Arabidopsis thaliana: one gene and its partners. The protein of the gene in region 2 interacts with the protein of the main gene of each other region in a pairwise test. Each region holds a gene or a part of one and is shown on either strand. Other genes may lie near its edges.

Region 1 (3,759 bases), on a different chromosome or scaffold from region 2:
CCGGAATTGTATGTTTATGGTGTTAACTACATGACGTCCTATACTTCATATACGTGGTTATGGAATACATCTATTTCGTGTAGCTGGATATACAATAGTATAGTTGGTATGTGTGACCATGTATTCTCTTATACTTCGTGTAGCTAGCAATCTTTTTTCCTTTAGTAAATTACTATGCATAATAGTAAGTTTACTAAATGAACAATTGATTATGCAATAAATCATATGAAACACAAAATATATATATGGTGCTTACTAGCTTATCAAACACATAGTAGATATGGAGCTTACTATCTTATTCAAACTTATAGTAAGTTTTTGCACAACTCACATATATATATTTACTAGTTTATCAAACTTATAATAAGTTTTTGCACAACTATATATATATATATAGAGCATACTAGCTTATCAAACTCATAATATATTTAGAGTTTACTAGTTTATCAAACTCACTAGCTTATCACACTTACTAGCTTATCAAACTTAAGAAGTGGCAACACAACAAAATTAAGTTCAAATCATATCTTTTATTTAAATTTGTTTTTTCATGGCTTTAAATAACATTGTAAATAGCTCTCATTATCCCAAGAAAAAACAAACTTATCTTTCTCTCATGAGTAATCAACAACTTCTAGTCATCATCGCAAAGGAAAATTCAATATTATACAAGGCCCAATCAAAGCCTTCGTAGCGGCGAATTAAAGAGATCGATACTATTTTTTTAGAGTATATATACTAACTAACCTTTGACAACAAAAGAATAAAGAGAATAACCATAGATAAAAAGTATGAGAGAGAAAATAACTTTTACACCTCATTTATGACACTTTTACCCTAACTAAACCAAACCGTACATTAATTTTTTATTTCTCCGAAACCATCATCACCTTCTCCATAACCATCTCCATCACAATAACCACCACAAGCTCTAGTAAATCATTTGACTATAGCCGTTCACGGTGTTGGTTTTCATCAATTTGGTGGTTCAACCATTGAGCTCTTCCATTTATTTGGTCTATATAGGATTTACCTATTTCCGATATCGTTTCTTTTTAGAATCTGAGATTTGCTTTCACCCTCAAAAGTTTAAGATTTTCTTTCAATGTTATGTTATCATTTCATATATCATGTTACTTTTATATTAGGCATGTATTTTGTCTAAAAGCAGTGTATTTATTTGACATGATCTGCACTTTTTAAATAATTCATGTCCTCTATTGTAATCACGTATCTTATTCCTACCCATCCAAACAATAAGATATGTTTCTTTTGAATAATGCATGTTCATTTTATATTAGACATGCATTTTCTAAAAATACATGGTATTATATAAAAGATCTACACCTTTTAAATATTTCATGTTCTCTACTGTAATATTATTCATACCTATCCGAACAATAAGATGTATTTCTTCTGAATAATGCATGTTCCTTTTATAATTGTCATGTATTGTTTTAATAAAATATTAATTCATTTAGATACTATGTTGTCTGTAAATAATTCATGTTTTTTATTCAGATGTTAATCAACTCTGATTTATTATCACTGGCATTATTGTAGAAACAAGAAAATAGAAAGATATTTTTTAGTATTTATTCTACTTTAAAAAATGTTATTTATCTAAATTTTCTGACAAAAAATTATTTTTTTAATTTTGTTTAATTTTATGGTTATTTTTTATCATTAACCTTTTTTTTATATCAGCTGTAATGGAAAAATATATCAAAGTAATATTGACACTATTTTTTTTTTGAAATTAAAAATAATATTGACACTTGACAGTTCGAAATTCAATACTTTTCTAATTATAAATGGAATATTCTGTACCCGTCCAATAAAACAAGGAATTTTTCCGTTCCAGAACAAATATTCGAAATTTTTTTACCATAAAATTCCTTTGAAAAATGTAAGTCAAATTTAATTTATTTTAAATATAATTAATTTATTGTGGATATTTTATTTTCAGCAAATTGACAAAGACAAAAGACAATTTACTTAAACAGTTCTATCTATTACACTCAGAAATTGACGCGACTGATAGATAATTCCAATTCCAGTCAAACAAAACCTTCACAACTCAATTATTCTTCCGATTTTGGTTTCTCTCTTCCAATCATCCTTCAAGCTCATCTTTTTCTTCTACCCAATAACGAAAGTCTCCTCCTTTACTAATGGGTTGCTTCAGCAGTAAACACCGGAAAACTCAAAACGACGGCGGAGAAAAATCAATCCCGATCAATCCAGTTCAAACCCATGTAGTCCCCGAGCATCGTAAACCTCAAACCCCAACACCAAAACCCATGACTCAACCAATCCATCAGCAGATTTCAACACCGTCTTCAAATCCAGTCTCAGTTCGAGATCCAGATACGATTTTAGGTAAACCATTCGAAGACATCAGGAAATTTTACAGCTTGGGGAAAGAATTAGGTCGAGGTCAATTTGGGATTACGTATATGTGTAAAGAGATTGGTACTGGTAACACTTATGCTTGCAAATCGATTCTTAAGAGGAAGCTAATTAGTAAGCAAGATAAAGAAGATGTGAAGAGAGAGATTCAGATAATGCAGTATTTGTCTGGACAACCTAACATTGTTGAGATCAAAGGTGCTTATGAAGATAGACAATCTATACATTTGGTTATGGAGTTGTGTGCTGGTGGTGAGTTGTTTGATAGGATTATAGCTCAAGGTCATTACTCTGAGAGAGCTGCTGCTGGTATCATTAGGTCTATTGTCAATGTTGTTCAGATTTGTCATTTTATGGGTGTGGTTCATCGAGATCTCAAGCCTGAGAATTTCTTGCTTTCGAGTAAAGAGGAGAATGCTATGCTTAAAGCTACTGATTTCGGTTTGTCCGTCTTCATCGAAGAAGGTTAGCTAGAGACTCAATATAGCCTTTTTTGGTCTTTGGTTTTGGATTGTTAGTGTTTGGAATCTATAAGCTTGTCTAGTCTCTTTAGTGTCAAAGATTAAGAGTTTGGTAGTTCATTGCATTGTGATCTCTAGCTTGAGTACTTCTTGTTTTCGAGTAACAGTGAGAGTGTCATGGTCAAAACAATTGATTTTGTGTTTTCTCTGTTCATTGAAGATTGATCATATTCTTTGGTATTTAAGATCTGCACTTTTTTTTTCCGTTGATCATGAGCTAGATTGTTGTCTTATGTTCCAATGCATAGGGATGAGACTCAAGACACTTTAGTACCGAGAATCGAGTTTATCTTGTCTTTTGTACACATCTTTATGATATTGTCAAGTATGTAATTTTCATTAGTTTGATTCTTATGTTAATATGCTTCATGATATGTCTGTGAAACCAACAAATGCAGGAAAAGTTTACCGGGATATAGTTGGGAGTGCTTACTACGTTGCTCCAGAAGTATTAAGGCGAAGTTACGGAAAAGAAATCGACATTTGGAGTGCAGGTGTCATTTTATACATCCTACTCAGCGGTGTACCTCCTTTTTGGGCCGGTAAAAGACCTTTAAGCTAACCAAATTCATTGATTTGTTTTCTTCTTGAGGTGTGATCTATATTCATATGTTATATTTTAGAAAATGAGAAAGGAATATTCGATGAGGTCATAAAAGGCGAAATTGATTTTGTAAGTGAGCCATGGCCTTCTATATCTGAAAGCGCGAAAGATCTTGTTAGGAAGATGCTAACCAAAGACCCGAAGAGACGAATCACGGCTGCACAGGTTCTTGGTAAGACAATGTGAATACCAGTATTTTTTTCCCACTCCTGTTTGTATAGA
Region 2 (3,759 bases):
TCAATATATAATTTTTTTAGATTGTTGAAAGCATATGCGAAGGAAAACAAAATATATATTATTCACAGTAAAAGGACTTCTAGCGAGTTCTTGATTCATTAGAATTTTACCTATTCCCTTCGCAATTGCTCTATAACATGGTTTGGAAAATGAATTTGGGATTTATATTTTCTAAAATCATAAACTAATAAAATCTAGTGGTTTAATTAGGCCGATAATTAAATAAATCTGACCTAAATTCTCCACATTTAAACATCATACCTAATATACATTTTGCAAAGTCTAGTGGTGTTGCCACTAAGCTGGTTTCCCAGCTGTATAGAATTAGACTATACTTAGTCACTTACCCTATATTTATTGGAAAATGATGCATGTTATCGGCTAGAAAGAAAAAAGAAGGCCACTATTGTTTGTTTATCCAAAACAATTGCACTTAAAACCTATAAATACTAGTGTGCATTTGGGCGCCTTTGAGAATTCTCCTCAAATCAAACAACAATCATAAATAGAAAAACAAGAAAGCACAAAGAATAGAATAAATACAGTTTTCTCTATTTTTTTCGTTTTCGAATTTTAAGCTTTCCTTTTGGTTTCTGACTTTGAGTGGAGTAAATTCTTTGAATATTTGTTTAAGAGAAACTATAATTTTAGAAAACCAACAAAACTGTAATTTTAGAACTGCATTAATAAACCCTTTATTGCGATGTTCCACGTCAATGATCAAAGCTAAACCAATCTAAAACATCGCTGTTTCAAAAAGTCGTAGGTAAAATCAAGACTCCCATAATTAGGAAATTAAATATATAAAAAGCTAACTAAATTGGTTTTAATTAACGAAACAAAAACTCCTATTAACAACAGAAATAAAATTATATATATATATATATATTTCTTTTTCCTTTCTTTTTGGCTGTACAAGAAAAAAACTTTAGAAGAAAAAAACAAAATAGCAAAAGATCTTAAATGGATGGTGTGGTGCTATGTGCCCATCAACTCATCGGGTCCACTTCAAAGTTATGGCTCGACCGGCCAACAACGCTTATGAATATTTACGCGTTTAAACGCTATTGTTCATGTTCCATCGCTTGTGAAAACCGGTTTGAACATATAAAAATCACATACATGTACTAGTATTAGTAAACCAGGAATCTTTGTAAATTTTACATCACATTGGTTCACAGCTAAATTGGCATTTGGGGTTTAGTAAGGTAATTTTTGGTTTCTGGAATCAATTTGGGTTTAAGAAAGAAAGAACGAGGAGAAAAAAAAAAGAAAAGAAAAATCAATTAATAAATTTATTAGTTCGTAATAAGAACCCTAAGGTCATATAAAAGAAAATCAAGAATCGCATGTAGCCTATGCATGTTCTCAAGAAAGGATTCACAAAAATGTTGTTTGTGATGTAATGAACTTTGTTAACTACGAATCCAAAAACAAAAAAATGGAGAAATGGAATAAAACACTAACCTGACGATTTTGAAATTTTGCAGCCGTAGAAATCAGAAATGGTGTTTAAAATCTACAGATCTTCTCTTATTCTTGTAGAGATAAGAATTGTGTTTTGGTAGGGAAAGAAGCGAAGACGAATTAGGAGAAAATAGAAAAAAAGCGAGTTGGTTTGGGCGAAAACAAAACACGTCTTTGTACTATAAATAAGTGTTCACGTAAGTACAGTTACGGAAACATGATAGTGTATGTATTTGTTAAATGTATAGCTGTAATTCAAAGCTTTCAACGTGGCCGTCTTCTTGTTGATCAACTAGTCATGGTTCACGTCATTGACAATCTCAAGTAATTTTTTGTTCTTTTTATTATTTTTTGTCACAATTATTTAGTTTTTTTAAGCATTGGTCAATAGGTGGTGGACCACATTATACGAAACGGCCAAAAAACAAGGAAATTTTTAAAATATATTTATGAAAATGAAGTTAATATGGTATTTAACAAAGGGAAAAAACCCAAAAAAGATCTCAATTAATTTTTATTTGGACGTTTAATACCCAATTATTTTTTGTTGGAAGATAAATACACGAAATAATAAAATCGTACAATTTAATACACAAATAATTAATTGTTGTTATTTTCATACTCACGATCTCACAACAAAAATAAAATTGCAATTTATCCTTACCATCTCAATTAACTATTTTTTTTTTGATAATATGATATTAATTTTATAATTTTGAATAAAAATTAATTTTATTAATATTTTAGTTTATGATAATATGATATTAATTTTTATTGTGAGATCGTGAGTATGAAAATAACAACAATTACTTGTTTGTGTATTAAATTGCACGGTTTTATTACTTCGTGTATTTACTTTCCAACCAAAAACAATTGGGTATTAAACGTCCAAATAAAAATTAGTTGAAGTTTTTTTTGGGTTTTTTAACATTTAACAAATGCATAAAATATTATTTTGCAAAAGAAAAATAAATAAATAACTTTGAGTCTTGGTTTGTTTGATAATTTTTCTAATTTTTTTTCTTTGTTAAATATAATTACATAAATGATAAGCTTTTAAATCTTTTCATAATAAATATAACGTTTTTTTTTATCATATAAATGATGAGCTTTTTTGTTATTTATTCGTTTTTTGTTAATGTTTTAGAAATATAGTCAAGTTTTACTGGAAGGAAGAACAATACAATATGTTTGTTTGGGAGTAAATTCAGCTACGAAGTATATTTACCAATTACAATGCGACAAATAGATTTTAGATCCGCATGCACTTTTTTATAAACAGTTCTCCATATCCGTGTCTATCAGACATCTCCAAAAATTACTTAAGTGCAAAAAAGATAATTTGCATCATGCCACATAGAAAAAAGTTGACAATGGAGATGGACATAGCATGCAAAGTTAGTCATTATTGCAGCAATTTAACCAGCATGGATGCTTTAGATGGCGTATTATTGGGAGGCTACTTGAACTGAACCTACAGAAATAATTCCTACATAAGACTGATATCGCAAAGCAATGTACTTTAAGTTTTGGACTTTGGTTATCCAGTATCCAAAAATCTAATTTTTCGTTTTCACAAGGTAATGTATTTATTCCTAGAAATATGGTTTTACAATTTTGTTTTTACCACCTTATTGTTTTTCTATTCATAAATTCAAAAAATTTCACGTCTATTTCTCTTATATGGATTCTATCTTTTCATAACGTTTAAATTTTTGGAATCTGAGTTGGCGATGTTTTTGATATCTGTTTTTTTTTTTTTTTTTTTGGCTCGGGTATATAATATAATTAAAAATCATTTGCCAACAAGTTATCTATAACAGAATTATGGGCTAATTAATTAGGTGTATAGCCAAATTGTGGGATGGAAAAATACAACAAAACTGTTTTTAAGGAATCGAGTACACAAAACGAGTAATCCGCATTTTTTGGGGTAAATTACACAAAGAAATAGGAAAGAGGAAGAAACCAAGTTGGTTCACAAAACTTCTTCGCATAGATTGTGTCGTTAGGTACGTTTTTGGTTGATTGTTTGAATTAGGATTTTAGCTGTCACCGAATTGATTTTTCTTTATTTGTCCAGTTATATGAATATATTATATCTTAGTGAGTTAATCATAAATATAATAGTTTTTGGTTCCTGTCTACATGCGCTGTACATGAGTTTTGTCTTTAGAGCGGACAAAACTTAGGTTTGACCTAAAGCAGATTGATAATGCCAAAAGTAATAAAAATAAGATACACACCGGCAAACGTTTTGTAGATAGGTAATTTAAGGTTTTCCTATTAAAG
Region 3 (3,759 bases), on a different chromosome or scaffold from region 2:
AGCCGTCGATTCGGATTCGTTGGTGGAAGATCGTGATGACGTGGGGAGGATCCCGTTGCTTGAAGTTAGGGATTTGAGAGCAGTGATTGCTGAATCGAGACAAGAGATACTGAAAGGCGTCAATTTGGTTGTCTACGAAGGAGAGGTGCGTATTAATCAATGCAATTTTATGGTTAAGACTTGAAATTTAATTTGCAGAAAGCTTTGCCTGGTAGTGCTGTCTCATTATATGATAAAGTTTTGAGTTTGATATCATAACTTGTGAATTCTATTTGTGTGGATTTGTTTTGCATTGCTGCCGATTGTAATCCATGGCTTCTTTTGTGGTTGCTAATAGGTTCACGCAGTGATGGGGAAGAACGGTTCAGGAAAGAGCACGTTTTCGAAGGTGAACATTTTATTTGTATATCTTGTATCTCAGGATTAACATTGATGCTGCAGAGTATTGTTCTCTTTCTGTTTGTTATCTTAGTGAGAGTCTTATTATTTGTAGGTTCTTGTTGGTCATCCCGATTATGAAGTGACGGGAGGGAGTATTGTGTTTAAAGGGCAGAATCTACTTGATATGGAACCAGAGGATAGATCTCTTGCCGGTCTCTTTATGAGTTTCCAGTCCCCAGTTGAGATCCCTGGTGTTAGCAATATGGATTTCTTGAATATGGCATTCAATGCTCGGAAAAGAAAGCTTGGTCAGCCAGAGCTTGATCCAATCCAGGTGCCTTATCGAATTAAATGACTTGGATTTGGTTTGCACTGTTTCTTACTTGTTGTTGTTTGCTAAATGGTCCCAATTGTAGAACTGTCTATGTATTATGTCTTACTGATATCACATGGCTCATGCAGTTCTACAGCCACTTGGTATCAAAACTCGAAGTTGTGAATATGAAGACCGATTTTCTCAACAGAAATGTCAATGAAGGATTTAGTGGTGGTGAAAGGAAACGCAATGAGATTCTACAGTTAGCGGTAATGGTTCTGCTTCCCTTGTTTCTCAGTATCCATAAGGACTGCATATGATAAGAAACAAATGTGATTAGAGAAGGTAGTGGATTACTAAGCTTGTTCCATGCTACAGTGTGCAAAACCACAAGGCTAATAGTTAGGAATTTCAGGATATCTGGGTAGATTAGCTTAAGCAGTTACAGGTTTTACCATAAGTAGACGCGGTTATTGCATGGCAGTTAGTATTCTATTACAAGTATTTGACTGCAGTTTTAGCTAAAAAGACATGGCATGTTATATGTCTTCATATCTCTTTATATTTTCCTGATCTTGAAATATCTGCCTCCCAAGGAGTGGTCATTTCTGGTTTATCGATAACATGAGAACACTATTAGTCTCCTATTCTTTGTAAGCAATATATGGAAAGAGGTCATGGAAGTACGCTAATGCAACGTTTTCCTGTCCTTGCAGGTCCTTGGAGCTGAGTTGGCTATACTGGACGAGATTGATTCAGGGTTGGATGTTGATGCTCTTCAAGATGTGGCAAAGGCGGTGAACGGGCTTTTGACACCAAAAAACTCTGTTCTGATGATAACGCACTACCAACGCCTACTTGACTACATCAAACCAACTCTCATACATATCATGGTGAGCATTGTTGCCAAACCAGCCTTCTTTACTGGCTACACAATGATCATATATATTTTGGTAAGCTCATGTATGTTTCCTTGGGTTTCAGGAGAATGGGAGAATCATTAAAACCGGAGACAACTCCTTGGCCAAACTACTGGAAAAGGAAGGCTACAAAGCGATATCCGGTTAGTTATCGCGGATCATACATATAACCTGTCTTCCTTCTTTGAGAGACCATGGTTATTATATGGGACAAATACAATGGAAGCTAAAGCTGATGATTGGAAACTGAAATCTATCACTACAATCTTTGACCCGTAGTTTTGGTTTGCAATTTGCATGACAAACTACTTTATTGGGATGTGAACAGTATTCCACACCTTTTTGTAACTAACAAGTTTAAAATTCAGTTAATAAATTTTGTTATTATAAATGCTCTTATAAAGTTTGAGACTTTAAGTGGATCAAATCCAATCAAACCTAGTGGTTACTTACATTACTTGAGAAATTTGACAAAATAAAATTTAATTTGATTATTCTATCGCCTGCTGCTGCTGGAACGAGTTGGTAATAGAAAACAAATTCATAATTTATGACAAGAAGAACGCAAAATTCGCTGATGATTATTAAACCCAAACGCGTTTTTCAAACTCGTTCAATCAATTTCCTTCATCATCTTCATCTTCTTCGTAATTGACTTATCGAACAAGATTACACCTCCCTTTAGCTTTTTATGCAAATGTAGTGCTTTTAAGCATTCTCTCGATTTCCCTCCCTTATTTTCCGACAAATACCAAACCAATATTGTTCCTTTTCTTTTCAATCCCAGATCGATCTCTTTGTTTTCAGACAATTTCTGTTGTCTGGATTCGGTTCATTGCATCGTTCTTTGTGTTGGGTTCGTTTAAACTTTCGATTTTCCCATTTTGAAAATTTTGATTTTTTTCTTGTGGCAGATTGATTGTTGTTGTGCAAGATTCATCCGTTGCATCGACCCGAGTAGGGTTTTTGCTTGTTCCATCGGTGTTCGGAGTTTTTAAAATCATTGCCTGATCCGGAGTGATCAAATCCTATATATTGTCGTTGCACAAGAGAACCAAGTCTTAGATTATAAAGAGATTTGACTTTCACTTTTAGTGTCTATGATCATTAGGAATGAGATCAGATCAGGTCAATTTGTGTTCTTTTGATCAGATCTTGATGTGGAAAGCTTGATGCTGTTGATTATAAGTAGAGAGATATTTTGATGGGTAATGCTTGCGTTGGACCAAACATTTCTGGAAATGGTTTCTTGCAAACTGTTACGGCTGCAATGTGGAGGCCACGGATCGGAGCTGAGCAAGCTTCTTCTTCTTCCCATGGTAATGGACAAGTTTCTAAAGAAGCAGCTTCAGAACCAGCTACTGATCAAGTCCAGAATAAACCCCCTGAGCCTATCACAATGCCAAGCTCAAAGACCAATCCCGAAACTAAACTGAAACCCGATCTAGAGATCCAACCTGAAGAAAAGAAGGAGAAAGTTCTTGCAGAAGAAACCAAGCAGAAAGTTGTTCCTGAAGAAAGTAAGCAGGAAGTTCCTCCTGAAGAAAGTAAGCGGGAAGTTGTTGTGCAGCCGGAGTCAGCAAAACCAGAAACAAAGTCTGAATCCAAGCCAGAGACAACAAAACCAGAAACAACGTCTGAAACCAAGCCAGAGACGAAAGCTGAACCTCAGAAGCCTAAACATATGAGGAGAGTGTCCAGTGCAGGGCTTAGAACTGAGTCAGTGTTGCAGAGGAAAACTGAAAACTTTAAGGAGTTCTATTCATTAGGGAGGAAACTTGGACAAGGGCAATTTGGGACGACGTTTTTATGCCTTGAGAAAGGTACTGGGAACGAATATGCGTGCAAGTCGATTTCCAAGAGGAAGCTTTTGACTGATGAGGATGTTGAAGATGTGAGAAGAGAGATTCAGATAATGCATCACTTGGCTGGTCATCCGAATGTTATATCTATTAAAGGTGCTTATGAGGATGTTGTTGCGGTACATCTTGTGATGGAGTTGTGTTCGGGTGGCGAGCTTTTTGATAGAATTATTCAACGTGGACATTACACTGAGAGGAAAGCTGCTGAGCTTGCGAGAACCATTGTTGGGGTTTTAGAGGCTTGTCACTCTCTTGGTGTTATGCATCGGGACCTCAAGCC

What was found.
Region 1: the proteins of SLAH3 (region 2) and CPK21 interact in a protein complementation assay, tested with the Arabidopsis thaliana proteins (2 studies listed by BioGRID, with this or other methods).
Region 3: the proteins of SLAH3 (region 2) and CPK2 interact in a protein complementation assay, tested with the Arabidopsis thaliana proteins (one study listed by BioGRID).

Annotation. Positions count from the first base shown.
Region 1 is NC_003075.7:2,396,047-2,399,805, reverse strand, and holds the start of CPK21 (calcium-dependent protein kinase 21), read left to right. Parts: upstream 1-2,046; 5' UTR 2,047-2,174; coding exon 2,175-2,877; intron 2,878-3,331; coding exon 3,332-3,475; intron 3,476-3,556; coding exon 3,557-3,709; intron 3,710-3,759. UniProt on the Arabidopsis thaliana protein: May play a role in signal transduction pathways that involve calcium as a second messenger. Mediates the phosphorylation and activation of the S-type anion efflux channel SLAC1.
Region 2 is NC_003076.8:8,121,161-8,124,919, forward strand, and holds the start of SLAH3 (SLAC1 homologue 3), read right to left. Parts: upstream 1,755-3,759; 5' UTR 1,468-1,754; intron 1-1,467. UniProt on the Arabidopsis thaliana protein: Slow, weak voltage-dependent S-type anion efflux channel involved in maintenance of anion homeostasis. Binds to the highly selective inward-rectifying potassium channel KAT1 and inhibits its activity.
Region 3 is NC_003074.8:3,333,331-3,337,089, reverse strand, and holds the start of CPK2 (calmodulin-domain protein kinase cdpk), read left to right. Parts: upstream 1-2,103; 5' UTR 2,104-2,821; coding exon 2,822-3,759. Other genes in the region: NAP7 (non-intrinsic ABC protein 7), read left to right, coding at 1-145, 338-388, 494-715, 844-966, 1,414-1,590, 1,682-1,765. UniProt on the Arabidopsis thaliana protein: May play a role in signal transduction pathways that involve calcium as a second messenger.